Linked DNA regions of Saccharomyces cerevisiae S288C. The gene in region 1 interacts genetically with each later gene. Each region holds a gene or a part of one and is shown in the gene's direction. Other genes may lie near its edges.

Region 1 (9,192 bases):
CATTAGTCGGTGGTCACGAAGGTGCCGGTGTCGTTGTCGGCATGGGTGAAAACGTTAAGGGCTGGAAGATCGGTGACTACGCCGGTATCAAATGGTTGAACGGTTCTTGTATGGCCTGTGAATACTGTGAATTGGGTAACGAATCCAACTGTCCTCACGCTGACTTGTCTGGTTACACCCACGACGGTTCTTTCCAACAATACGCTACCGCTGACGCTGTTCAAGCCGCTCACATTCCTCAAGGTACCGACTTGGCCCAAGTCGCCCCCATCTTGTGTGCTGGTATCACCGTCTACAAGGCTTTGAAGTCTGCTAACTTGATGGCCGGTCACTGGGTTGCTATCTCCGGTGCTGCTGGTGGTCTAGGTTCTTTGGCTGTTCAATACGCCAAGGCTATGGGTTACAGAGTCTTGGGTATTGACGGTGGTGAAGGTAAGGAAGAATTATTCAGATCCATCGGTGGTGAAGTCTTCATTGACTTCACTAAGGAAAAGGACATTGTCGGTGCTGTTCTAAAGGCCACTGACGGTGGTGCTCACGGTGTCATCAACGTTTCCGTTTCCGAAGCCGCTATTGAAGCTTCTACCAGATACGTTAGAGCTAACGGTACCACCGTTTTGGTCGGTATGCCAGCTGGTGCCAAGTGTTGTTCTGATGTCTTCAACCAAGTCGTCAAGTCCATCTCTATTGTTGGTTCTTACGTCGGTAACAGAGCTGACACCAGAGAAGCTTTGGACTTCTTCGCCAGAGGTTTGGTCAAGTCTCCAATCAAGGTTGTCGGCTTGTCTACCTTGCCAGAAATTTACGAAAAGATGGAAAAGGGTCAAATCGTTGGTAGATACGTTGTTGACACTTCTAAATAAGCGAATTTCTTATGATTTATGATTTTTATTATTAAATAAGTTATAAAAAAAATAAGTGTATACAAATTTTAAAGTGACTCTTAGGTTTTAAAACGAAAATTCTTATTCTTGAGTAACTCTTTCCTGTAGGTCAGGTTGCTTTCTCAGGTATAGCATGAGGTCGCTCTTATTGACCACACCTCTACCGGCATGCCGAGCAAATGCCTGCAAATCGCTCCCCATTTCACCCAATTGTAGATATGCTAACTCCAGCAATGAGTTGATGAATCTCGGTGTGTATTTTATGTCCTCAGAGGACAACACCTGTTGTAATCGTTCTTCCACACGGATCCACAGCCTAGCCTTCAGTTGGGCTCTATCTTCATCGTCATTCATTGCATCTACTAGCCCCTTACCTGAGCTTCAAGACGTTATATCGCTTTTATGTATCATGATCTTATCTTGAGATATGAATACATAAATATATTTACTCAAGTGTATACGTGCATGCTTTTTTTACGGCAGCATTTTTTTTTCAACTCTGATCGCCCCTTTACTGCTCCCTCCGCCCAAATTCCATTGCAGTTCAAATGTATACTGAAAAAAACCCCATTGCTATTGTTAAACAGTGAACTCTCTTTTTGCCCAATAATAACATTATAACAAGTAACTACCAGCACCATAACACCGTGTCCTATCCTGGTATTAATTACTACTTGAAGAACGACTACATCGCTTTTTGCAACTACAATTAGAACGCTCCGCCCCTTCCTTTTGACGTCGTATAAGTGTAGTTGGATTGCAATTGCATAGATACAGGAATTAGTTCAAGCCATTCCTAACGAGGAAACGATACATTCTAGCAAATCTACGCTTTTCTGACTTTAGAAGAGCAAGCCAATAAAAAGCCGGAGAAAATAGAAAGGTAATAATGAATCAGTTGACAGTGAGTTATGGCCTAATTTCCCCAGATTACTGCACTTCCCAAGATGCGCACATCTTACCGATAACAAAGATTCTGTACCCGGATATACCTGGTAAAAACTATTTTCTTACTTCAGGAAGGGATGGTTCCATAATTTTGCACAAGAACACACAGCTCTCGAACGAGCCTGAGACTGCTGCAACTACCATAAAAAACGATGCGATAAGAATGCAAGTTCATAGCGATTGGGCAAGCGATCTAATACATGTTAATATGAAAAATTCAGACCCATCTGCAGGGGACACATTCATATCAGTAAGTCACGATTTTTCGATAGTATTAATTAGTGTGAATGCGCAGTTAACTACCTGGGATAAGAAAATAATCGGTGACCACGACGATTATATCAAGTGCATAGTGCCCATACATTATGAAATGTCAAATGACTATGAATTGGAAGAACAAGAGGGTGGTCCTGATAATGTACACGATGGAATAAATAATGGCATTGTTGTTGATGAACAGAACAACTTTCTTTTTGTGACAGGTGGTCTAGATAGAAAAATCAAACTTTGGTGCCTGAGCAGCGGGCCAGAAAAAATGGCTACGCTACTACACACATTTGATAATGCACAATCAAACGACACAGGCTCAATATACTCCATGAGTCCCATCATCCCAAAATACAGTTTTGATGACAATCAAACGTCTCGTCCCTTTGATTTTGTTGCCGGAGACTGTAATGGTGATTTGATTTTTTATTCGTGTAAATATCGTAAGGAGGTGATAAGAATTCAAAACGCCCACAGAACAAATATAAAAGTAGTAAGAACTCTTGATGACTCCACACGACTAATCAGTACCAGCTCAGATGGTGTAATAAATGTATGGGACTTGAATTGTAGGCATGATCAGACTACTGGTGCCCTTCAGCTTCCCAAAAAAATTGGATCTTGGTCCTGGGATTCTTCCATATGGTGTGTCCAAGGAACGAGCCTTGATAAGTTGTATTTTGGTGACTCTCAGGGCAATGTTATGAGAGCAAACTTATCCAGTTATGAAGATGCTAAACTTACAAGAATTTTCAAGCCTGATCATCACCACCATCATCATCATCACCATGAACACGAAGAGCAAAATATATCAACTACAGATGCGAAAGTAAAAAAATATGGTGGTATCCTTGATATTGCCCTTTTACCTAATGAAAAATTGTTGTTTTCTTTTTGTACTGACTCAAATCTAAACGTGCTCGATTTAACTAATAACCATTTCAGTGTCAACGAAGGTGGGTTCGCACTGACCAGAAGCTCACTGCTAACCAACAGGAGGCATGTAATAACGGAAAACACTAAAGGCCAAATGCAGAGATGGGATATCGTTTCATGTGAGCTTTTGAATACTTTTGATTCATCAGAAGGTTCATTTGATGATATTGTAATGAAATACACCTCAAAGGAAATTCTATCTCATTGGTGTACTGTTTCCGTTAAGGTCGGTATGCTGTTCGTAAAAATAAACCCAAAATTTCTGAAAACTGAAGTTTATGGATCCGCGCTAAAGGATTATCAGGTTGTGAACAATATTGAAATTAACTCAGATGAGAGATATAATTTGGGTAAAATTGTTATTAATTCGCTTTTCAATGAGTTCATATCATATGAAGTCCAAAAGGATAAACTTTTAAGGAAGAAAATTTTTAGTTTGAAGAAAAAAGACTTAACCAATTCATTAACCTTGGATACGGGATATAACAGTGAATCAAAAAAGAATAATAAAGATAAAAAGAGAAAATCAACCTTCAAAATTAGTTCAACTCTGTCCATTGGAAATACCAACAGCAGTGGAACTCCACCAAATTCGGCACCTGCAACCCCGGTAATGGCAGAGACTATAGTATTAGAAGAACAACCATTGTTGCAGTCAGCTTCTGATAAAGCAATAGATGACTCTTTAGAACTCGTGCAACCATTGCCTGCATCCAAAAAGCCATATTTTAGAACGCAGAGCTCTGGCTCCTTGTTAAGTAGAAAGTTCAAATCATTTAGGTCTACTTCTGGTCGTGCCACAACAGGGTTAAACACTCCAGAGGAGCCCAAAGGAATTCTGCCAGATACTCCGCACGTTATTAATGATGACTCGGCCTTCCCTCAAGCTATCAATACAACTCAGCAGTCTAAGGATGCAACTCCAGAATCTATGTTATGGAATCATCCTTTCAAGCTAGAGCAAAAACTATCCGCTATTTCATCACAAGATTTACCGAGTAACAACACTCATAACAAACTAAGATCATCTGAAAACTCAAGGGCGAATTCCACGTCAACCTTGGAAGGCAACGAAAAGAAGAAGCCTGAGTTCATGCCCGATTTACTGGAGCAAATTCAAGAGTCTTACAAGCAACAATATATGAATACTTCTTCTCTAAAATACCTGACGAAGAGGCTTCCAGTCACCAAGATAATCAAGGCTAGTTCATGTCCAATTATTAGAGTAAAATCTGCCACGTTAGTTTTGGTCCATCTTTGGAAGGAAGGCTCATGTGGTGGCAGGGTATTATTTTCCACCCTATTACCGCCATCTCATGTCGATAATGAAACCGTCAGCGGCGGCAAAGAAAATTCCAAACCGCCAGATGATGAAGAAGTAGACCTTCAAGCTGTAGATGATGACAAATTAGGAAAATATGATCTTATTGATGGCGAGTTAGGAAGCAGACTCAACAGAAGGCAAATTTTTGAGCAATTGGAGGAAAATTTGCCCTACTGGTTTGCAAAAGCTTTATTTAGAGATATTAAGACGGTGGAAGAGCAACCAAAGTTGAACTTCTTAATCATGCCATGGTCTTCTGTTGGTGGGAGTGAGGCAGCTGGCAATGAAAACAAGAAGAAGTTTATTAGTGCATCAGATACCACAGAATCTTCTGGCAACGATAGTAGCGATAGCAGCCTTGGAAATGGTAATGAAGCCGTTTCCCCATCAACACAGCAACAGTTCCATAATATGCTAAAGTTTGGCCGTCCGAAGACCAGCGAGCAGGAGTTAAACCCCACAGATTTACCGAGAATCTCTGAGGCGAATGTCAAGCTGGTTGCGCCTGGAATGATTAGGGTGAAAAAAATTAAACTTTACGTCGCTGACAGATTTGAAACGAAAACTCCTGAAATGAAAGCAAAAATGGAACCTAGTCTTTGGTTGGATCTACTATGTAGGGGCCAAGTGCTTGATAACGATATGACTTTAAATACCGTTAGAACACTTTACTGGAAATCTCAGGGTGACATAGTTCTAGAATACAGAAGAAAAGTACATAATTCACCGCTAGTTCATGAGGTCAACGGGAATGAGGGGAAATGATAATGTTTATTTAAATTATATTTTGGGGTCTGAATTTGGAGTTTTTAAGCGTAAATATATAGTAACAATACCAACAATAATACTAATAATACTATAATAGTAGTTGCAGTAACAATGACAAGATAAAGAATATTCTTCTGAAATGTCTAAAGAACGAAGAAAAAAGCAAGTACTCATTGGAATGCTATGTGTAACAACTCATACATACTCTAGAGCTTTATAATAATTACATAGACATTTTTATAATATTATTTATTTATCAAATTTTATATTGAATAGGTACCATCAAGTTATGCACACATTCTTCATTAAAATACAGTCTGTAAATAATTGTGAATATGGGCGACCTGAATGATGTTCTTATTATCTCAAATATTTCTAATTTTTTTTAATCATTTTTGTTTCTTTAAGAGCAATTAATTTACAGAGCGGGGAACAGTGGCCAATTTTTTGAGCTAAAGAACAGCATAACAACAAAACAACAGAAAAAAAACACAGCGAGTCTAGTGCAAGTACGTCGGCAAAGTAAAACACAAAGGAGATGAAATTGCACGGCTTTTTATTTTCCGTATTATCAACATGCGTCGTCATTTTACCAGCGTTGGCCTACAGTGAAGCTGTCACGATGGTCAAGTCGATTGAGCAGTACTTCGATATCTGCAATAGGAATGATTCTTACACAATGATAAAATACTACACTTCTTGGTGCCAACATTGTAAAACTCTGGCCCCAGTATACGAAGAGCTTGGTGAGCTATACGCCAAAAAAGCTAATAAAGATGATACCCCAATTAACTTCCTTGAAGTTAACTGTGAATTCTTCGGGCCAACTTTATGTACCGACTTGCCTGGATTTCCAATAATTGAACTGGTCAAACCTCGTACTAAGCCCTTAGTTCTTCCGAAGCTCGATTGGTCGTCTATGAAATTTCATGAAAGACTATGGCAAAGAATCAAGACGTGGTTCAACAATCCTAAGTACCAACTGGATACGTCTAGGGTTGTTCGTTTTGAAGGGAGTAGGAACCTAAAGAGTTTAAGCAACTTTATCGATACTGTAAGAAGTAAAGATACAGAAGAAAGATTCATAGAACATATTTTCGATGATTCTAGGAATTGCAATGAAGAATTACGTTCTCAACAGCTTCTGTGTAAAGCTGGTAAAGAATACTACTCTGATACTTTATCTAAATTATACGGTGACGTGAATGGGCTGGAAAAGGAAAGGCGAAGACTAGAAGCTTTAATTAAGCAAAATGGAGATGACTTGAGTAAAGAAGTTAAAGAAAAACTGAAAATCATTCGTCTACAATTGAGCCTATTATCACACATAGAAGACCAGTTAGAAGATACCAGTAGTCATGACGAGCTTTGAACATAAGCTTCGCTCTGTCTTTTACTTTACGAATACCGACTACAGACGGAAGCGGGACCCTCACCCTGAGGTACAACAAATACACAGATACATATATATTTAACAATGTACGTTAGCCGCAATATAAGTGAGATTGTGTAGGTGAAAGATTATGGAGATATACATAAATATTACAGAAGGTCTACCACATGTGTTTTGAATATTGGCTTGTGCTAAGGTAACACTGTTATTTTATTCATTAGAGAAACATCTCTTACCCTGTTTGGTTTTGGTATAATCTCCAATTACGTACATGAAAGATGGCTTTATATAAAAAGCCTTTAATTCGAAAAAAGAATAAATGTCTTAGGGAGCTTATTATCGTACTTTAATTCAACTTAGGAAATCAGCACTCTCCACTCCAAATCTTCGGTTTGAAATAATGGAAAATCAAGGTGGAGATTACAGCCCAAATGGGTTTTCAAACTCAGCAAGCAATATGAATGCGGTTTTTAACAATGAAATCACCGGTAGAAGTGACATTTCAAATGTAAACCATCAAACTGGTACCCCACGTCTGGTTCCTGAAACTCAAATATGGTCGATGCCTGTGCCAGATCAACTGATGACGATGCCTAACAGAGAAAACACCCTTATGACAGGTAGTACAATAGGTCCAAATATCCCCATGAATGTGGCTTATCCCAATACAATATACTCGCCAACAGAGCATCAGTCGCAATTTCAGACACAACAGAACCGTGACATCAGCACGATGATGGAACACACTAACAGTAATGATATGAGCGGCTCTGGTAAAAATCTCAAGAAACGTGTATCAAAGGCCTGTGACCATTGCCGAAAAAGAAAAATCAGATGTGATGAAGTGGACCAGCAGACCAAAAAATGTTCAAACTGTATTAAGTTTCAGTTGCCTTGCACTTTCAAACATCGTGATGAGATTCTTAAGAAGAAAAGAAAATTAGAAATCAAACATCATGCAACACCAGGGGAATCACTTCAAACCTCAAATAGTATTAGCAATCCTGTAGCGTCTTCTTCAGTACCGAACAGTGGAAGGTTTGAACTTTTAAACGGTAATTCCCCCTTAGAAAGCAATATCATCGATAAAGTCTCCAATATTCAAAATAATCTTAACAAAAAAATGAATTCAAAGATTGAAAAATTGGATAGAAAAATGTCTTACATTATTGACAGTGTGGCTAGACTTGAGTGGTTATTGGACAAGGCTGTTAAAAAGCAGGAAGGCAAATACAAGGAAAAGAACAATTTGCCCAAACCAGCGAGAAAAATATACTCTACGGCACTTTTAACTGCTCAAAAACTCTATTGGTTCAAACAAAGTTTAGGAGTGAAAGCGTCCAATGAGGAGTTTCTTTCTCCAATCAGCGAAATATTAAGCATATCTTTAAAATGGTATGCAACTCAAATGAAAAAATTTATGGATTTGTCATCTCCGGCTTTCTTCTCCAGCGAAATAATATTATACTCATTACCTCCGAAAAAGCAAGCAAAGAGACTTCTTGAGAATTTTCATGCTACCTTATTATCCTCTGTAACTGGTATAATATCGTTAAAAGAATGTCTAGACTTAGCAGAAAAGTACTACAGCGAAAGCGGCGAAAAACTCACATATCCTGAACATTTATTATTAAACGTGTGTCTCTGCTCGGGTGCATCTGCCACTCAATCAATTATAAGAGGTGATTCAAAGTTTCTAAGGAAAGATAGATATGATCCAACCTCCCAAGAGTTAAAAAAAATCGAAAACGTTGCCTTACTAAATGCCATGTATTATTATCATAAGCTGTCCACCATCTGTTCAGGTACAAGAACACTACAAGCTTTATTACTACTGAACCGATATTTTCAACTTACCTACGATACTGAACTAGCAAATTGTATTTTAGGAACCGCGATTAGATTGGCGGTTGACATGGAATTAAATAGAAAATCCTCTTACAAGTCACTAGACTTTGAAGAAGCCATAAGGAGAAGAAGAATGTGGTGGCATTGTTTTTGTACAGATAAACTATATTCTTTAATGTTATCCAGACCCCCTATTGTGGGGGAACGCGATATGGATATGCTAACAGATCAAAATTATTATGAAGTGATAAAAACTAATATTCTACCTGATCTTATTGATAAAAAGGAAGATCTCGATAAAATTACTGATGTCAACTCTGCATTGAATGTAGTTGTAAATTTTTGTCAGCACATATCCCTTTTCATATCATATTATGTTTCAAAATTGGTTAGTATTGAGAGTAAAATATACTCTACTTGTTTTGCTGTCAGAAGTACTCTAGATCTTTCATTCGATGCCATGCTTGATAAAATCAAAGATCTCAATGATTCTTTGAACAATTGGAGAGACAACTTGCACGTAAGTATGAAACTAAAAAGTTATAAACAGTATTTATCGGTACTTTACGCTCAAAAATCCCAAGAAAATCCGGCTTTAAGTTTTGAGATTGCATGCTCTCGTGTTTTGAATTGTCATTTTAGGGCGCTATATTCTAAAGTGATTTTGAGCATGATGACTACATCCTTATTGATTGATAACGAACGCCTATACAAAGGTTCTCGCCATGATATTCCTCAGCTATTCATTCTTTTTTCAAGTCAATACTTAAACGCCAGTAAAGAAATGTTACAGCTGTTTCAAGGCATCAATTACCAGGCGCATA
Region 2 (8,279 bases), on another chromosome or scaffold:
TGCAAATGGCTTTTTATAAGAACAACTCTGCAGGTAACACTCCGAACGGCCCCTTCTCTCCAATTCAAAAAACATATTCCCCTCATACTACGTCGACCACCGTTACAACGACAACAAATCAACCACCATTTGCAGCAACAAGCCACGTAGCAACAAATAACAATGCAGATAGGACGAAGACGCCGGTAGTAGCCACCACCACGACTATGCCATTATTGCCTTCGCCGCATGCAAATGTAGATGAGTTTGTACTGGGCGATATTAGTATTTCCATTGAAAAAGCGAATAGATTACACCATATTTTCGTGACTAGGTATCTGCCGTATTTTCCTATTATGTATTCCAATAACGCCACCGAATTATACTCCCAATCTCAGTTGCTTTTCTGGACCGTGATGTTGACGGCATGTCTGTCTGATCCTGAACCGACGATGTATTGCAAGCTAAGCTCTTTGATCAAGCAACTTGCCATAGAGACCTGCTGGATAAGAACACCTAGATCCACACATATTTCGCAAGCTTTGTTAATATTGTGCATTTGGCCTTTGCCTAACCAAAAAGTCCTAGATGATTGTTCTTACCGTTTTGTAGGATTAGCAAAGTCACTGTCTTATCAATTAGGTTTGCACAGAGGTGAATTCATTTCTGAATTCACAAGAACTCAAACATCAATGCCAAATGCAGAAAAGTGGAGAACTAGGACTTGGCTGGGAATATTTTTTGCCGAACTTTGTTGGGCGAGTATCCTTGGTTTGCCACCAACTTCACAGACAGACTATTTATTAGAAAAAGCCTTATCCTGTGGTGACGAAGAATCAGAAGAAGATAACAATGACAGTATTGACAATAACAACAATGATAAAAGGAACAAGAAAGACGAGCCGCACGTTGAAAGTAAATACAAACTACCGGGCAGTTTTAGAAGATTGCTCAGCCTGGCGAATTTCCAAGCAAAATTGTCTCATATCATTGGTTCTTCCACTTCCAGTCCTGATGGTTTATTGGAACCAAAGTATCGTGCTGAGACACTGTCCATCTTGGGAAAAGAGTTAGATTTATTAGCAAAAACTTTAAATTTCCAGAGTGACGATACTGTCAACATTTATTTTCTTTATGTTAAATTAACTGTCTGTTGTTTTGCATTCCTACCCGAAACACCTCCTACCGATCAAATTCCATATGTCACAGAGGCCTATCTAACAGCTACTAAAATTGTCACTCTATTGAATAATCTTTTAGAAACACACCAATTAATTGAACTGCCTATTTATATTAGACAAGCTGCTACATTTTCTGCACTGATTCTCTTTAAATTGCAGTTGACTCCTTTACTTCCTGACAAATATTTTGATTCAGCAAGGCAATCCGTGGTCACTATCCATAGACTTTATAGAAATCAGTTAACTGCGTGGGCCACTAGTGTTGAGAATGATATTTCGAGAACTGCAAGTATGTTAGAAAAACTGAACTTCGTACTGATCATGCATCCAGAAGTTTTTGTGGAAGAAGACGGTATTATTTCTAGGATGAGATCACATTTAACAGGGTCTCTATTCTATGATTTGGTTTGGTGTGTTCACGAGGCGAGAAGAAGGGAAATGGATCCCGAATATAACAAGCAAGCCTTAGAGAAAGCCGCTAAGAAAAGAAAATTTTCCTCAAATGGTATCTACAATGGCACTTCGTCTACGGGTGGCATAACGGACAGAAAACTATATCCATTGCCACTATATAACCATATCTCCAGAGATGACTTTGAAACTGTAACAAAAACAACACCAAGTGGAACCACTGTTACCACTTTAGTTCCTACTAAGAATGCCTTAAAGCAGGCAGAAAAGCTAGCCAAGACAAATAACGGAGATTCTGACGGTTCTATAATGGAGATTAACGGGATACCTCTTTCCATGCTCGGGGAAACAGGCAGCGTAAAATTTCAAAGTTTATTCGCTAATACCTCGAATAGTAACGATTATAATAATAATAGGACGTTATTGGATGCGTCTAATGACATATCAATTCCCTCTAATTCAATTTATCCAGTGGCTTCTGTCCCCGCTTCGAATAACAATCCACAAAGTACTAAGGTAGACTATTATAGTAACGGACCTAGTGTAATTCCTGATCTCTCCATGAAAAGATCAGTAAGCACTCCCGTTAATCATTTTCCTGCGTCCGTTCCAGGGTTAAGGAACCACCCCGTTGGCAACTTATCTAATAATGTTACATTGGGAATAGACCACCCTATTCCAAGGGAGCACAGTAATTTACAAAATGTCACCATGAATTATAATAATCAATTCAGCAACGCCAACGCGATTGGAAGATCACAAAGTAGTATGTCCCATTCACGTACACCGATTGCTTCGAAGTCAAATAATATGACAGATTTGCATTCCGTCGTTTCCGACCCCGGCTCCTCTAAAAGCACGGCATATCCACCTCTGAGCTTGTTTTCCAAAAGTAATGATATCAATAGCAACAAAACGAACCAACGATTTTCTACGGGCACTAACACTGTAACTTCTTCTAACTTCCAAACCATCGATAATGAAAACAACGTGAAGACTCCTGGAAACAAACTAACGGATTTTTTTCAGCAACAAAGTGCAGGCTGGATTGAAGGCAACTCCAGTAATGATGACTTTTTTGGTTGGTTCGATATGAACATGGAACAAGGTTTTTAACGCCTATATTCTTCTAATATTCTAAGAAATATTATTACCCTTGTTTTCTGCTAATTTATTAAAGAAAATTTGCAAAGACGGCTACATAGGACTTCGAGTCCTTTTATTTATACATATTCTTTTTCGGATTATTTCCAATGTAACAATATTCAAGAATGGATCAACTTAAGGATTATTTATCAGTTTGTTATCACGACCTCCCTCCTTTGTAAAATGATGACCACACCAAAGTAGAATATTTATTCACTACCTATTTATTTTATTCTTATTAATATTTTATATATCATGCATTTATCCGTGTGCATTTACCAAAATTCATGAGTAACGATAACGCTTCTTATAGGTATCTATCTATTCCCATTCCGGTAACTTTTTTTTTTTCTCCAACGCTCAGTCCTTGCTTCTTTATCCCTATTCGTTTGGAGACGGTCGTCAATTTTAGCGGAAGGCTGAAAAATACATCGATCCGAAAGTGTTGAACATAGAGATGAGGCAAGATAACTATAAAGATAAAGAACCCAAAGAACGTAATTGAACTATTGTGTGAAAGAAGGTCGACAACAGCAAAGGAATCAATAGAGTTTTTCTTTGGTTTTCAAATTGATTTTTTTTCACCTGTTCATTTTTTTTTTTTCCATTTGGATAATATTATTATTGCCTATACCAGATCTTACCCTTTGACTGTTCAACTCATCAAGCTTTATTTGTTGAAGGGGCCAAATTCGGCTTTAGTAAGGATCCAGTACTTTCATTAACATACTAAACCCACGCAAGAAGGGCGCAATCATGATCAGAAGATGGCTAACTATAAGTAAGTCTGGGAAGAAGAAAAAGGCTGTTAATGATACCATTACAGAAGAAGTAGAAAAGGTTGACTTTAAGCCTGTAAACCACGATATAAATGATGAACTCTGTTATAGCGAATCATCCGATAATCCCTCTAGCTCATTGTTTGTCTCTAATTTGGATACCAAGGAAACTTTTTTGAATGAAGACAATAATTTGCAGATTTCTTCCGGACTAGACTATTCTTCTGAAACGTGCAATCAAGGCAGTAATTACAGCCAGGATGGGATATTTTATATTTCAAACGCAAAGGCTATAAACGCATACGGAGGCATTATCACGCAAGGGCCCGAGGCACCCATATTAGCTATGAAGGTGTCCGACTCAATGCCCTATGGAGACGGCTCCAACAAAGTTTTTGGATACGAAAATTTTGGCAATACATGTTACTGTAACTCAGTTCTTCAATGTCTCTATAATCTGTCCTCATTACGTGAAAATATATTGCAATTTCCAAAAAAATCAAGAGAATCTGATCAACCAAGAAAGAAAGAAATGAGAGGTAAGAAACCAAGAATATTTACCGAAGCAAGTTTTGAGAAAAGCATTGCTGGTACCAATGGACATTTGCCTAACCCTAAACCTCAATCTGTTGATGATGGAAAGCCTACCCCTGTAAATTCTGTAAATTCAAATACAGCTGGGCCTTCAGAGAAGAAGAGTAAATTTTTTAAAAGTTTTAGCGCGAAACATGTACAAGACAATAATAAAAAGGAAGGAAGTCCTGCTATATTAACCACTGGAAAACCCTCTTCTCGTCCTCAAGACGCACCTCCATTGATAGTCGAAACACCTAATGAGCCTGGTGCTCCGAGCAGATTGAGTTTCGAGAACGTCACAGATAGACCTCCGGATGTTCCGCGTAAAATAATTGTTGGCAGAGTTCTCAATTATGAAAATCCTTCAAGAGGTAGCAGTAATAGTAATAACCTGGACTTGAAAGGAGAAAGTAATAGCAGCTTATCCACTCCACTTGATAAAAAAGATACTAGAAGATCTAGTTCCTCTTCTCAAATATCCCCAGAACATAGAAAGAAATCCGCACTTATTCGTGGGCCAGTGCTCAATATTGACCATAGCTTAAACGGCTCAGATAAGGCTACTTTGTATTCCAGTTTGAGAGATATCTTTGAATGCATAACTGAGAATACGTATTTAACTGGTGTTGTATCGCCTAGCTCTTTTGTTGATGTTCTCAAAAGAGAAAATGTATTATTTAATACTACTATGCATCAGGATGCTCACGAATTTTTCAATTTCTTATTAAACGAGTTGAGTGAATATATAGAACGTGAGAATAAAAAAATAGCAGCCAGTGATATCAACAGCGATAGCGAACCGAGTAAGAGTAAAAATTTCATCAGTGACTTGTTTCAAGGCACTTTAACGAATCAAATAAAATGTCTGACGTGCGATAACATTACATCTAGGGATGAGCCATTTTTGGATTTCCCCATAGAAGTTCAGGGAGATGAGGAAACAGATATACAGGAAATTTTGAAAAGTTATCACCAGCGAGAAATGCTAAATGGCTCAAACAAGTTTTATTGTGACGAATGTTGCGGTTTACAGGAGGCAGAGAGATTAGTTGGTTTGAAGCAATTGCCTGATACTTTAACATTACACTTGAAAAGATTCAAGTATTCTGAGAAACAAAACTGTAATATTAAGCTTTTTAATAACATTCACTATCCTCTGACGCTAAATGTTTGCTCTTCAATAAATTCTAAGGTTTGTCAAAAGTATGAATTGGCTGGGATTGTCGTTCATATGGGCGGTGGGCCACAACACGGCCATTATGTTTCCCTATGTAAACATGAAAAGTTTGGCTGGTTGTTATTTGATGACGAAACGGTAGAGGCAGTTAAAGAGGAAACAGTGTTAGAATTCACAGGTGAATCTCCAAATATGGCAACAGCATATGTTTTGTTTTATAAAGCGATGTATTCAAACGCTGTTGAAAAGAATGATCGTGAAAATATGGCAAAAGAACAAGATGATAATATAGACAATCTAATCAAGTACGATGATTGGCTAAGAACTTGCAATAGTGGTCAAAAGAAAAAGGAAGAGCTGCCTATAGCAGACGATTTGGATACTGCTATAGACGACAGCTTTGTTTCTAACACACCCATAAAGTCTTCTAAAAAAAAGTCGAGAATGTTTAGTTTTAGGAAAAGCTGAAAAATATTTGCATATCAAGGAAGGTAAAGGTTCACCGTCTCCTTTAAAACTATTTTTTCTCTGACAGTATTAATTTAATTCTTACATAAATATAATATCTTTAATCTTCTTTTTTTAAACCGGCTCCGGAACCTTTTTCTTAAATTTATAGTTTTGTCTCAGTAAAAGGTTTTCTTTTAAACTAATACAATTATGAAGTATTTAGGCATGCAAGCAATCAGGAATCTAAGAATAAAAAATTGTCCTATACTGGAGCATGGGTGAACAAATATGACACGGATTCACCATTGTGTAGTCTTCTTATAGCTTCAGCGAACGTGGGACTAATATCGATCTGGTCAGCAATAGGTAAATCCAAATCTACCGGAACGGTATTTGTGCAAACAATTCTAGACAATCTACTATTTCTTAGCTTTTCTCTTGCTGAACCGGAGAAAATACCGTGTGTAACAATAGCTATAACTTCTTTGGCACCATGCTCCATCAACGTATCACAAGCTTTTACCAACGTACCACAAGTATCCGCCATATCATCAACTAATAAACATGATTTATTGGTAACATCACCAACAAGCACCATTTTTGAAACCTCGTTAGCTTTTTGCCTCTCTTTGTGAATCAAAGCAAAATTTAAATCTAACTTGTCAGCCAAAGCAGCTACTCTCTTAGCACCACCTGCATCAGGCGACACCAAAATAGCATTGTCGAAATCTGTTTTCGTTCTAATATAATTTAAAACACTTGGTTCTGCATATAGGTTGTCAACCGGGATATGGAAAAACCCTTGAATTTGGGAGGCATGGAGATCCATTGTGATGACATGATCAGCACCAGCAGTTTGCAATAAATTGGCAACCAACTTTGCGGTAATGGGCGCCCGGGATTTATCTTTCTTGTCTTGTCTTGCATATGGAAAATTGGGTATTACAGTAGTGATCTTTCTTGCAGATGCAATTTTGCAAGCATGAATTAAAATTAATAATTCCATCAAGAAATCATTAATTTCTTGTTCACCTATTCCAGTTTGGATAATATACACATCTTCGTCGCGAAGGCTCTCACCTATGGTGACAGAGGTTTCTTTATTAGAATACTGGTACACACCAACTTTGGAAAGTGGAATACCTAACTTTTTCGATATTTGTTCAGCCAAATCAGGATGGGAGTTTCCCGCTAGCAATTTGATACTATTTATAGCCATATCTTCTCGAGACTCTGAATTCATTTTTGCTGGAGAAGCCTTGTGGAGTTGAAGCTGAGAGTCTATGTGCATTATGTAGTCTACCACATGCTCAAGGTCGATGACCATATAGGACCTTGAAATATTTTCGTCAGGATTTTTCAATGACCGAGAAGTAAAAAAAAAGCAGAGAATCGAGCAGCAAGGCTGATTTGCTAACAAATCCAATTGATATCATCGGCACGTGCTTAACTAAGGAGCGAGACTCATCTGCTTCAATTGTTACAATATTTGATTATATATTAAAATAAATGGTTATGTACGTACAGAGAACGCCAGGAGAAGGTGGGAGGGGGAAAATATTAAGCATTAAATTATGAAGTTCATTAAGTTTAAAAATAAAACATATTGTAAATGTAAGTGGGTATCTAGAATTTTTCGACGTTCATGATTAACTTTCCTTGGGCACGTTGAGTGGCCATATAAGAAAATGCTTCTTTATGGTCTTTCCAGTCATAAACTTTGTCGACGACACATTTTACAGTACCGTTCTTCAAAAAGTCGCCACATTGCTCAATCCAATCATTATTGGCGGAAGCCGTCTTTGCATTCGGATCAAAATAGTAATGTGTGTAGTTATATGACCAGATAATAGACCCGAACATTTTTCTTGCATTGGCACTTGGGTTATCCCATGAATCGAAAATGTCTTCTTTATAATTGGCAACGTAATCACCTACAGTGGTTACGTACGCACCACCGCCGTGAATCAATGAACTAGAATGACTCAAAATATCGTAACCACCGACAAAATCGAGTACAACATCGAACTTCCCCTCATTATAGTTAAGTATAGTTTCCTTATCCTCGACCGGATCATACTGAGAAATTTTCTTTTCTTCGAGCATTTTTCTTAGTGGTTTACTAGATTTACCCCTACACGTTAAGTAATCGATGAAAATCATTTCATCAGCCAGATCAGGAAATTTCTCCTGTAAAACTTGGGGCCCATTTGCAGACGTTACAATCACTAGTTTTTTCTGTAACTTGTAATGACGCTTCAATAATTGTATGACAAACATCCCCACTGACGAAGTTCCACCATTAATCAAAACGTTTGAATCTTGCTTCAAATACTTGTTCTTGGATAATTTATTCAGAATATTATAGCCGGTGGCCAGGCAGAATAAGGAGCCTGCAGCTTCTTCGGCGCTAACCGATTCTGGTCTCAAAAGGATTGGGTCCACCTTTGGATCTACTAAGATTGAACTTTGCAAACATCCCACGGCCAAATGAGGGTGGTAGTATATACCGTATACTTCATCACCCACGTGCCAGGCGTAGTTTAGGTTCTCGCCTACCTCAGTGATAACACCACTGTA
Region 3 (8,439 bases), on another chromosome or scaffold:
CACAAATGAGGTGACTGCATCAGAATCACATAATGTGGCCAAATTTCACCTTGGCAAGAAAAACAAGAAGAGCTTGCTACCAAGATGGAAAACCATTGAAATGTACGGGGAGGTAGTTAAGAAAACTCAAGACATATATTCTAATTTTCAGTATGCACAATACATTTTAAGGGTAGGGTTGGATACCGAAAAACTACACGAACTTGTTAAGGAACTGGAGGATGAAAGCAATAGCTTCTCTGTAGATTCTTTAAAGGAATATTTAGTGAACGATGCCAAAGTTATTTTGAAGAAACTAAGTGCCGTTGGATACCCTGATGCACAGTACCTTCTAGGTGACGCCTACTCCTCTGGAGTTTTCGGTAAAATAAAGAATAGAAGAGCATTTCTTTTATTCTCCGCTGCAGCCAAAAGAATGCACATCGAAAGTGTTTACAGAACTGCCATTTGCTATGAGTGCGGCTTGGGTGTAACCAGAAATGCACCGAAGGCGGTTAACTTTTTGACTTTTGCTGCAACTAAGAACCATCCTGCAGCAATGTACAAATTAGGAGTATATTCGTATCATGGTTTGATGGGTCTTCCAGATGATATTCTAACCAAAATGGATGGTTATAGATGGTTGCGAAGGGCTACATCTATGGCTAGCAGCTTTGTTTGTGGTGCTCCTTTTGAATTAGCCAATATTTATATGACGGGATATAAAGATCTTATCATTTCGGATCCAGATTATGCTATGGCATTGTATGAGAAGGCGGCGGCTTTAGGGCATACTGAATCGGCAAGAATACTAGAAGACGCTCGCAGAAGTGGAGGGTTTGTTTCGCGAGGACATCCTCCTTCGGCACAGAAATATCATAAAACCTCCCATGAAGCTGTGGCAGCCAAAAAGTTGATTTAATAGATAAATACAAACTTCGTTTTCCTTTTATTTTGTTGTTTTTTTTTTCACAAACTGTGGAAGTTCGATTAACTTTAGAAGTTTGTTTGATCAAAAATAGACTGATCCTCACACCTTTCGTTACTATTTGTTACTTTGCTGTATATCGAATAAATAAACCTGACTAAACTCCTTCTGTTATTTAGCGCAGATCCTATATGCTGCATTTTTAGATGTATTTGAGCACTACTATCGTTAATGCCGTGGCATTGGCTATGGACCAGTTAAGTCACGGCCTTTCTTAGTTCTATCATATACGACGTTATACTTATTTACTTTCCCAGCGTTGAAATTAATGTGTCTTTTTCATAATATTTACTTTTTGGTGCGGAAATCTGTAATATTTTAAAACAAAATCTCATCCTTTTGAAAAGAAACGATGAAGAAAAAAAATAATAACATACATTGTACCTTCACTAACACTTGTAAAACAAACGCTTACATTATAATGGCACAAATGAGCAATCAGTGTCACTTCTTCCTACATAAGCATAATTCAAGTATCGGGATATAAAGCTATTATATACCGCTTAAGATAAGAGGTATACACCTCATTGATCAAATACGCAACAGCGTCTCCTTTCAGACCTTTGTGGAGTAATTTCTGCGGGTAGGATTGACTATTTTTCAAGATCAATGCCCCCTCACACTAAGACCTGTTTGCTTAGCATCATAAATGAGTTTTTCCATAATTAAATTTCAACCATAGATTAGAATTTCGTTGCGGGATAAAACTCCAGAACCACAACGATTATGCAGCAAATGTAACCTTGAACTAAACTAAGATTTTGTTAGAGCAGGTGGTTTCCGTTACTCAGACAAGAACCTATAGTAGAAATATAAAAGTTTAAGTAAAACTTTCTTGGAATAGGAATCAGCCATCATCTATCAACTAGTGTACTGATATTCATAATACTGGTATACAATCATATACGGTGCGGGAAGATGACATAAAAAATTGAGAAACACTCATCAAATTTAATGGAGGCCGAAATGCAGGGACTCAGATCGTGATAGAATAATAAACGAGAACATATAAAATGGAAGAAAAAAGAATAACAACAATATGTAGATTTATCGATTCTGTTGATAATTAGAGGTAAAAAAATAGTATTAATGAAGAAATAATTACTGATCTTCTTATACTAAATAAGAGAGGTATATAAAACACACGCCGATTGGTCATATTAATCATGACCAATATAATAGTGATTCCGGTAGTTACTATACATTGATGTGACGACTCATATTCCTCATATATGTACCTACCATAACATGTTCAACTAATAGGTGTTTAACACAGCTTCAGTATTGTCTGAGCTTCTCGTTTAACATTCCTTCTGCAATAGGCGCAATCACACTTAAACGTATACGAGGTGTACATTAATATACGATGTAAGCATTAGATTGTTACCATAGCAACTCATGTCACTATTAATTACTCTCGTTCCAACAGATTCTCCTTTTATGGATTCCATATCTCGAGGAGACTTCTAGTATATTCTGTATACGCAATATTATAGCGTTTACGAACAATGAATCCCAACAATTATTTTAAAATTCACCAACATCTCAATATGTGTTTTATGAATATTTTAGGTGGGTATTGTCATACTGACGTATTCCATTTTGAGATGCAACACATACGTGTATTGTAATCCGATATAGTGTAACGGCTATCACATCACGCTTTCACCGTGGAGACCGGGGTTCGACTCCCCGTATCGGAGTACTTTTTTGACATCATACAGTGTATGTATGGGGTTAGGAGCCACCTTCCAACAAAGCATCACGCTGTCGTATCTCAATTGTCCTTCAGCAAAAGAAAAAGCAGTTGGGCTCCTGTACGCCATATATACTTTATATGCGGTTTTTACCCCGGAAATCGCGTTTATTAATGTCAATGCGCGATTTCTATTATGGGTTGAAAAAGTTGCACTTCTGTTCCTTTCCAAACGATATACGCCCCCCCCACAAGAAAACGTTTCTCTTGCATTCAATAAGGTCCATCGAAGCTGTATTTGGAACTTCCGATTTTATTAAACTTCTAGGGGCGAACTCAACCTTTCGCTTGAACAAGCTTGAATGTGTCGAAAACCTTAGCTCGATCCTTAAAAAAGTATTTGCATTATCAGTAATAAACAGAAAATTAAAACATTTACCAAAGGCAACGAGTCTTCCATATGAAAAATGATAAAAAGATGGTTATCTGTGAATAGGAAAAAGTCACACCCGGAGAAGAACACTCAAGGTAATGACGAAATTAATCGGAAAGCAACTAGCCTGAAGAAAACGAAAGGTTCTGGAGATCCCTCCATAGCGAAATCACCAAGTGCTAAGAGTAGTACATCAAGCATACCTTCTAATCTTGCGAGCCATGAAAGAAGAAGCAAGTTTAGTAGTCAAACGGATAACCTTGCAGGAAATAAACATTACCATGAGCATTACCATAATATGGCAAGTACTTCAGATGAAAGAGAGTACGATTCCTCGACTACATATGAAGATCGTGCGTTCGATACAGAGTCCTCCATACTATTTACTACTATTACAGATTTAATGCCATATGGGGATGGTTCCAATAAAGTGTTTGGTTATGAAAATTTTGGGAATACTTGCTACTGCAACTCCGTTCTACAATGCCTTTATAATATCCCCGAATTTAGGTGTAATGTGCTGCGATATCCTGAAAGAGTAGCCGCAGTAAACAGAATACGCAAAAGTGATTTGAAGGGTTCAAAAATAAGGGTATTCACTAATGAAAGTTTTGAAACATCTACTAATAGCGGAAATTCTAATACGGGGTACCAAAGCAATGATAATGAAGATGCACATAACCACCACCACCTTCAGCAGAGTGATCAAGATAACTCCTCTTCTTCTACTCAAGAAAAACAGAATAATTTTGAAAGAAAAAGGAACTCGTTTATGGGTTTTGGAAAAGATAAATCGAACTATAAAGATTCTGCAAAGAAAGATGATAACAATGAGATGGAACGGCCTCAGCCTGTTCACACAGTTGTAATGGCCTCTGATACATTAACAGAGAAGCTTCACGAAGGCTGTAAAAAAATTATTGTGGGAAGACCGCTTTTAAAGCAAAGCGATTCCTTATCAAAAGCTTCAACTACAGATTGTCAAGCAAATTCGCATTGCCAGTGTGATTCACAAGGCAGTAGGATTACATCAGTGGATGATGATGTCCTTGTTAACCCTGAGAGCTGTAACGATGCTGTCAACAATTCTAATAATAATAAAGAGAATACGTTTCCAACAAGTGAACAAAGAAAAAAAGCCGCTTTAATTAGAGGCCCCGTTCTTAACGTAGATCATTTACTTTATCCAACCGAGGAAGCTACACTTTACAATGGACTAAAAGATATATTTGAGTCTATTACTGAAAACTTGTCGCTAACCGGTATCGTTTCACCTACAGAGTTTGTCAAAATTTTAAAAAAAGAAAACGTCTTGTTCAACACTATGATGCAACAAGATGCCCATGAATTTTTAAACTTTTTATTAAATGATTTCAGTGAATATATTCAACGCAATAATCCCAGAATGAGATTCGGACCACAAAAGACAGACAACAGCAACGACAACTTTATAACGGATTTATTCAAAGGTACACTGACGAATAGGATCAAATGTTTAACTTGTGACAATATCACCTCAAGGGACGAACCATTTTTAGACTTTCCAATAGAAGTACAGGGTGATGAAGAGACTGATATCCAGAAGATGTTAAAAAGCTATCATCAGCGTGAGATGTTGAACGGGGTTAACAAATTTTATTGTAACAAATGTTATGGTTTACAAGAAGCAGAACGTATGGTCGGACTGAAGCAACTGCCCCATATTCTGTCATTGCACCTAAAAAGATTCAAGTATTCAGAGGAGCAAAAGTCAAACATCAAACTTTTTAACAAAATACTCTATCCACTAACTTTGGATGTTTCTTCCACTTTTAATACATCAGTATATAAAAAATATGAACTAAGCGGCGTCGTCATCCATATGGGGAGCGGTCCACAGCATGGTCATTACGTATGCATTTGCAGGAACGAAAAGTTTGGGTGGCTTTTGTATGATGACGAAACGGTGGAATCCATAAAAGAAGAAACTGTGTTACAATTCACAGGTCATCCAGGTGATCAAACTACAGCCTACGTTTTATTCTATAAAGAAACACAGGCTGATAAGACCGAAAATCAAAATGAAAATATAGACACTTCTAGTCAAGATCAAATGCAGACTGACAATAACATTGAACAGTTAATAAAATGCGATGATTGGTTAAGGGATCGTAAATTGAGGGCAGCTGCAAATATTGAACGCAAAAAGACCTTGGGGAATATACCTGAAGTTAAGACTGCAGAAACCAAGACGCCATTAAATGATAAAAAACGCAATAAGCAAAAAAGAAAATCGAGAATATTGAGCTTCATCAAATAAATCGGGATTGTTTCGATACATCATATAGTTGAGACCCATCTGTTCTAAAAGTATCAATATTAGTGTACCATTTTTTCTTCCTTTTTTAAATAATTTCCACGTTTCTTTCTATTGTTCCTGATCTTTCGAATTTAGTTGTATTTCACTTCACCTACTGTAATAACTTTTTTTTTTTAGAGCACAATAAAATTTCACATATTTTCCAAAAGCAAGGGCGGTAAATCAGAAAAGATTAAGCTTTAATGAAAATCTCATAGAGACCAGATGAAGAATATTGGTGGCAGCATAAGCGCTAATACTGAATAGATATACGCATTTTTTTTCAAAATATCTGTTAGTACATTTATACAAATATATTCGTTTATACCTCTTCTTTAAACAGGCGCATGTGTAAATAAATATGAGACTGATTCTCCATTATGCAATCTTCTGATAGCTTCTGCAATCGTAGGGCTGATATCCACCTGATCGACAATGTCCAAATCCAAATCAACAGGTACCGTGTTGGTGCAAACAATTCTTGATAACCTACTATTTATTAACTTCTCCCTAGCTGAGCCAGAAAATATACCATGTGTGACAATAGCGATAACCTCCTTAGCACCGTGATCCATTAATGTGTCACAGGCTTTCACCAGCGTACCACACGTGTCAGCCATATCGTCAATCAACAAGCATGACTTACCAGCAACATCACCGACAAGCAGCATTCGCGAAACTTCATTAGCTTTTTGCCTCTCCTTATGAATCAAGGCAAAATTCATATCCAGCTTGTCCGCTAAAGAAGCCACCCTTTTCGCACCACCAGCATCAGGCGATACCAGTATCGCATTATTGAAATCTGTTTTGGTCCTTATGTAATTCAACACACTTGGTTCACCGTATAAATTATCAACCGGGATATGAAAAAACCCTTGAATTTGTGAAGCATGGAGATCCATAGTAATAACATGATCACAACCCGCAGTTTCCAAAAGATTGGCAATCAGCTTCGCAGTGATGGGCGCCCGCGATTTATCCTTCTTATCTTGTCTAGCATAAGGGAAATTTGGTATTACTGCCGTAATTCTTCTGACTGATGCCGTCTTACAAGCGTGAATTAAGATAAGTAATTCCATTAAGAAATCGTTGATTTCATGTTCCCCGTAACCAGTTTGGATGATATATACGTCTTCATCACGAATGCTTTCCCCTATTGTAACAGACGTCTCTTTATTTGAATACTGATATACCCCCACTTTAGATAACGGTACACCAAGCCTTTGGGAAATAAGCTCAGCAAGCCCAGGATGTGAGTTACCAGCTAACAACTTAATACTGTTTGTAGACATATTCAACGAAACTTACGACAAGATAGTCTTTGGATGATGAGGAATATCCTCTTCTTAGCAATCCCTCGATGCCTCCTCATATCATCTATTGTTCAAAATTTTTTCATTGTTGAAAAATAGTCACGTGCTTAACCATTTTGCTGCGCGATTTGGTAGGAGGATAAATACACGGGCATACCGTATCTGTTCAATAGCAACAATGTCGGAGAGAGCTAAACTAGCCAACTCGCCATCCTATTCCACTGGTCGCTTGAGTCGATATCCTTCCACAGCAATATTGCACTTTACAATTAGGATAGCCTCCCCAATAAAATAAGGAAATTTTGGTTATTTGTGTTCAGAAAAAGCCGAAATCGATTGCAGAGAACAGAAAGGAACTTTCCGATTATCACACTTTAGGAGCCGTGATAAAGAAGACTACCATCGCATATCGCAGAAAAGACTTTAAATATTAACTAAAACCGCATTCGCAAATTGCAAACAAAGTACGTACAATAGTAATGGCTACAAAGCAGGCTCACAAGAGATTGACGAAAGAGTACAAGTTGATGGTGGAAAACCCTCCACCATATATTCTTGCTCGCCCCAACGAAGATAATATTTTAGAGTGGCACTATATTATCACAGGACCTGCGGATACTCCTTACAAGGGCGGTCAATATCACGGTACTTTAACTTTCCCGTCTGATTATCCATACAAACCACCGGCTATCAGAATGATAACACCGAATGGACGTTTCAAGCCCAACACACGATTATGCCTTTCTATGAGTGATTACCACCCTGATACTTGGAATCCTGGCTGGTCTGTCTCAACCATTTTGAACGGGTTACTAAGTTTCATGACCAGTGATGAAGCCACGACAGGATCAATTACAACATCAGACCATCAGAAGAAGACATTAGCAAGAAATTCCATAAGTTATAACACTTTTCAAAATGTTAGATTCAAATTGATTTTTCCGGAAGTTGTACAGGAAAATGTAGAGACATTAGAAAAGAGAAAATTGGATGAGGGGGATGCGGCAAATACAGGTGATGAAACAGAAGACCCTTTTACAAAGGCTGCGAAGGAAAAAGTCATCTCGTTGGAGGAAATTCTAGACCCTGAAGACAGAATACGCGCTGAACAAGCGTTGAGACAATCAGAAAATAATTCCAAGAAAGATGGCAAAGAACCTAATGATAGTTCTTCAATGGTTTATATTGGTATCGCTATTTTTTTGTTTTTGGTTGGCCTTTTTATGAAATGAAGCCATTAAATGAACTAAACTTTAGATAAATTTTGACAACACAGAATAGAAATCAATAGTATTATATAGACAAAACGGATCTTTTTATTATGAACATTGTGAATTATTAATTATATTTTTGAGTATGTATTGACCAAGAAACCTCAATAAAAATGAGGTGAAACCTAGGGAGACAGAAACTCCCATTTCAAAAACCTTCAACTTTCATTATAAGCTTACCTTGAGCACGTTGTGTAGCCATATAGGAAAATGCTTCCTTGAAATTTTTCCAGGAATAAACCTTATCAACAACGCAATCTACGACTCCCTCATTTAGCAGCTTGCCGCATTCATGTATCCAATCATTCTTCTTGGGGATAATCTTGATATTGGGGTCAAAGTAAAAATGAGAATAATCGTATGACCATAACATTGATCCAAACATTTTTCTTGCATTGGCGCTAGGGTTATCCCAAGAATC

What was found.
Region 2: of DUF1 (region 1) and UBP13, changing one enhances a phenotype caused by changing the other (phenotypic enhancement), as found in Saccharomyces cerevisiae (one study listed by BioGRID).
Region 3: of DUF1 (region 1) and UBP9, changing one enhances a phenotype caused by changing the other (phenotypic enhancement), as found in Saccharomyces cerevisiae (one study listed by BioGRID).

What each region holds. Positions count from the first base shown.
Region 1 is NC_001147.6:151,219-160,410, reverse strand, and holds DUF1 (Duf1p), read left to right. Parts: upstream 1-1,773; coding exon 1,774-5,124; downstream 5,125-9,192. Other genes in the region: alcohol dehydrogenase ADH1, read left to right, coding at 1-863; MHF1 (Mhf1p), read right to left, coding at 966-1,238; protein disulfide isomerase MPD2, read left to right, coding at 5,666-6,499; HAL9 (Hal9p), read left to right, coding at 6,921-9,192. UniProt on the Saccharomyces cerevisiae protein: Ubiquitin-binding protein involved in the resistance to phenanthroline, sanguinarine, nordihydroguaiaretic acid (NDGA), isopropyl (N-3-chloro-phenyl)-carbamate (IPCPC) and guanosine 5'-O-(2-thiodiphosphate).
Region 2 is NC_001134.8:91,077-99,355, reverse strand, and holds UBP13 (ubiquitin-specific protease UBP13), read left to right. Parts: upstream 1-3,473; coding exon 3,474-5,717; downstream 5,718-8,279. Other genes in the region: SEF1 (Sef1p), read left to right, coding at 1-2,687; ribose phosphate diphosphokinase subunit PRS4, read right to left, coding at 5,962-6,942; AST1 (Ast1p), read right to left, coding at 7,326-8,279.
Region 3 is NC_001137.3:352,336-360,774, forward strand, and holds UBP9 (putative ubiquitin-specific protease UBP9), read left to right. Parts: upstream 1-3,130; coding exon 3,131-5,395; downstream 5,396-8,439. Other genes in the region: SHC1 (Shc1p), read left to right, coding at 1-901; ribose phosphate diphosphokinase subunit PRS2, read right to left, coding at 5,770-6,726; E2 ubiquitin-conjugating protein UBC6, read left to right, coding at 7,227-7,979; AST2 (Ast2p), read right to left, coding at 8,167-8,439.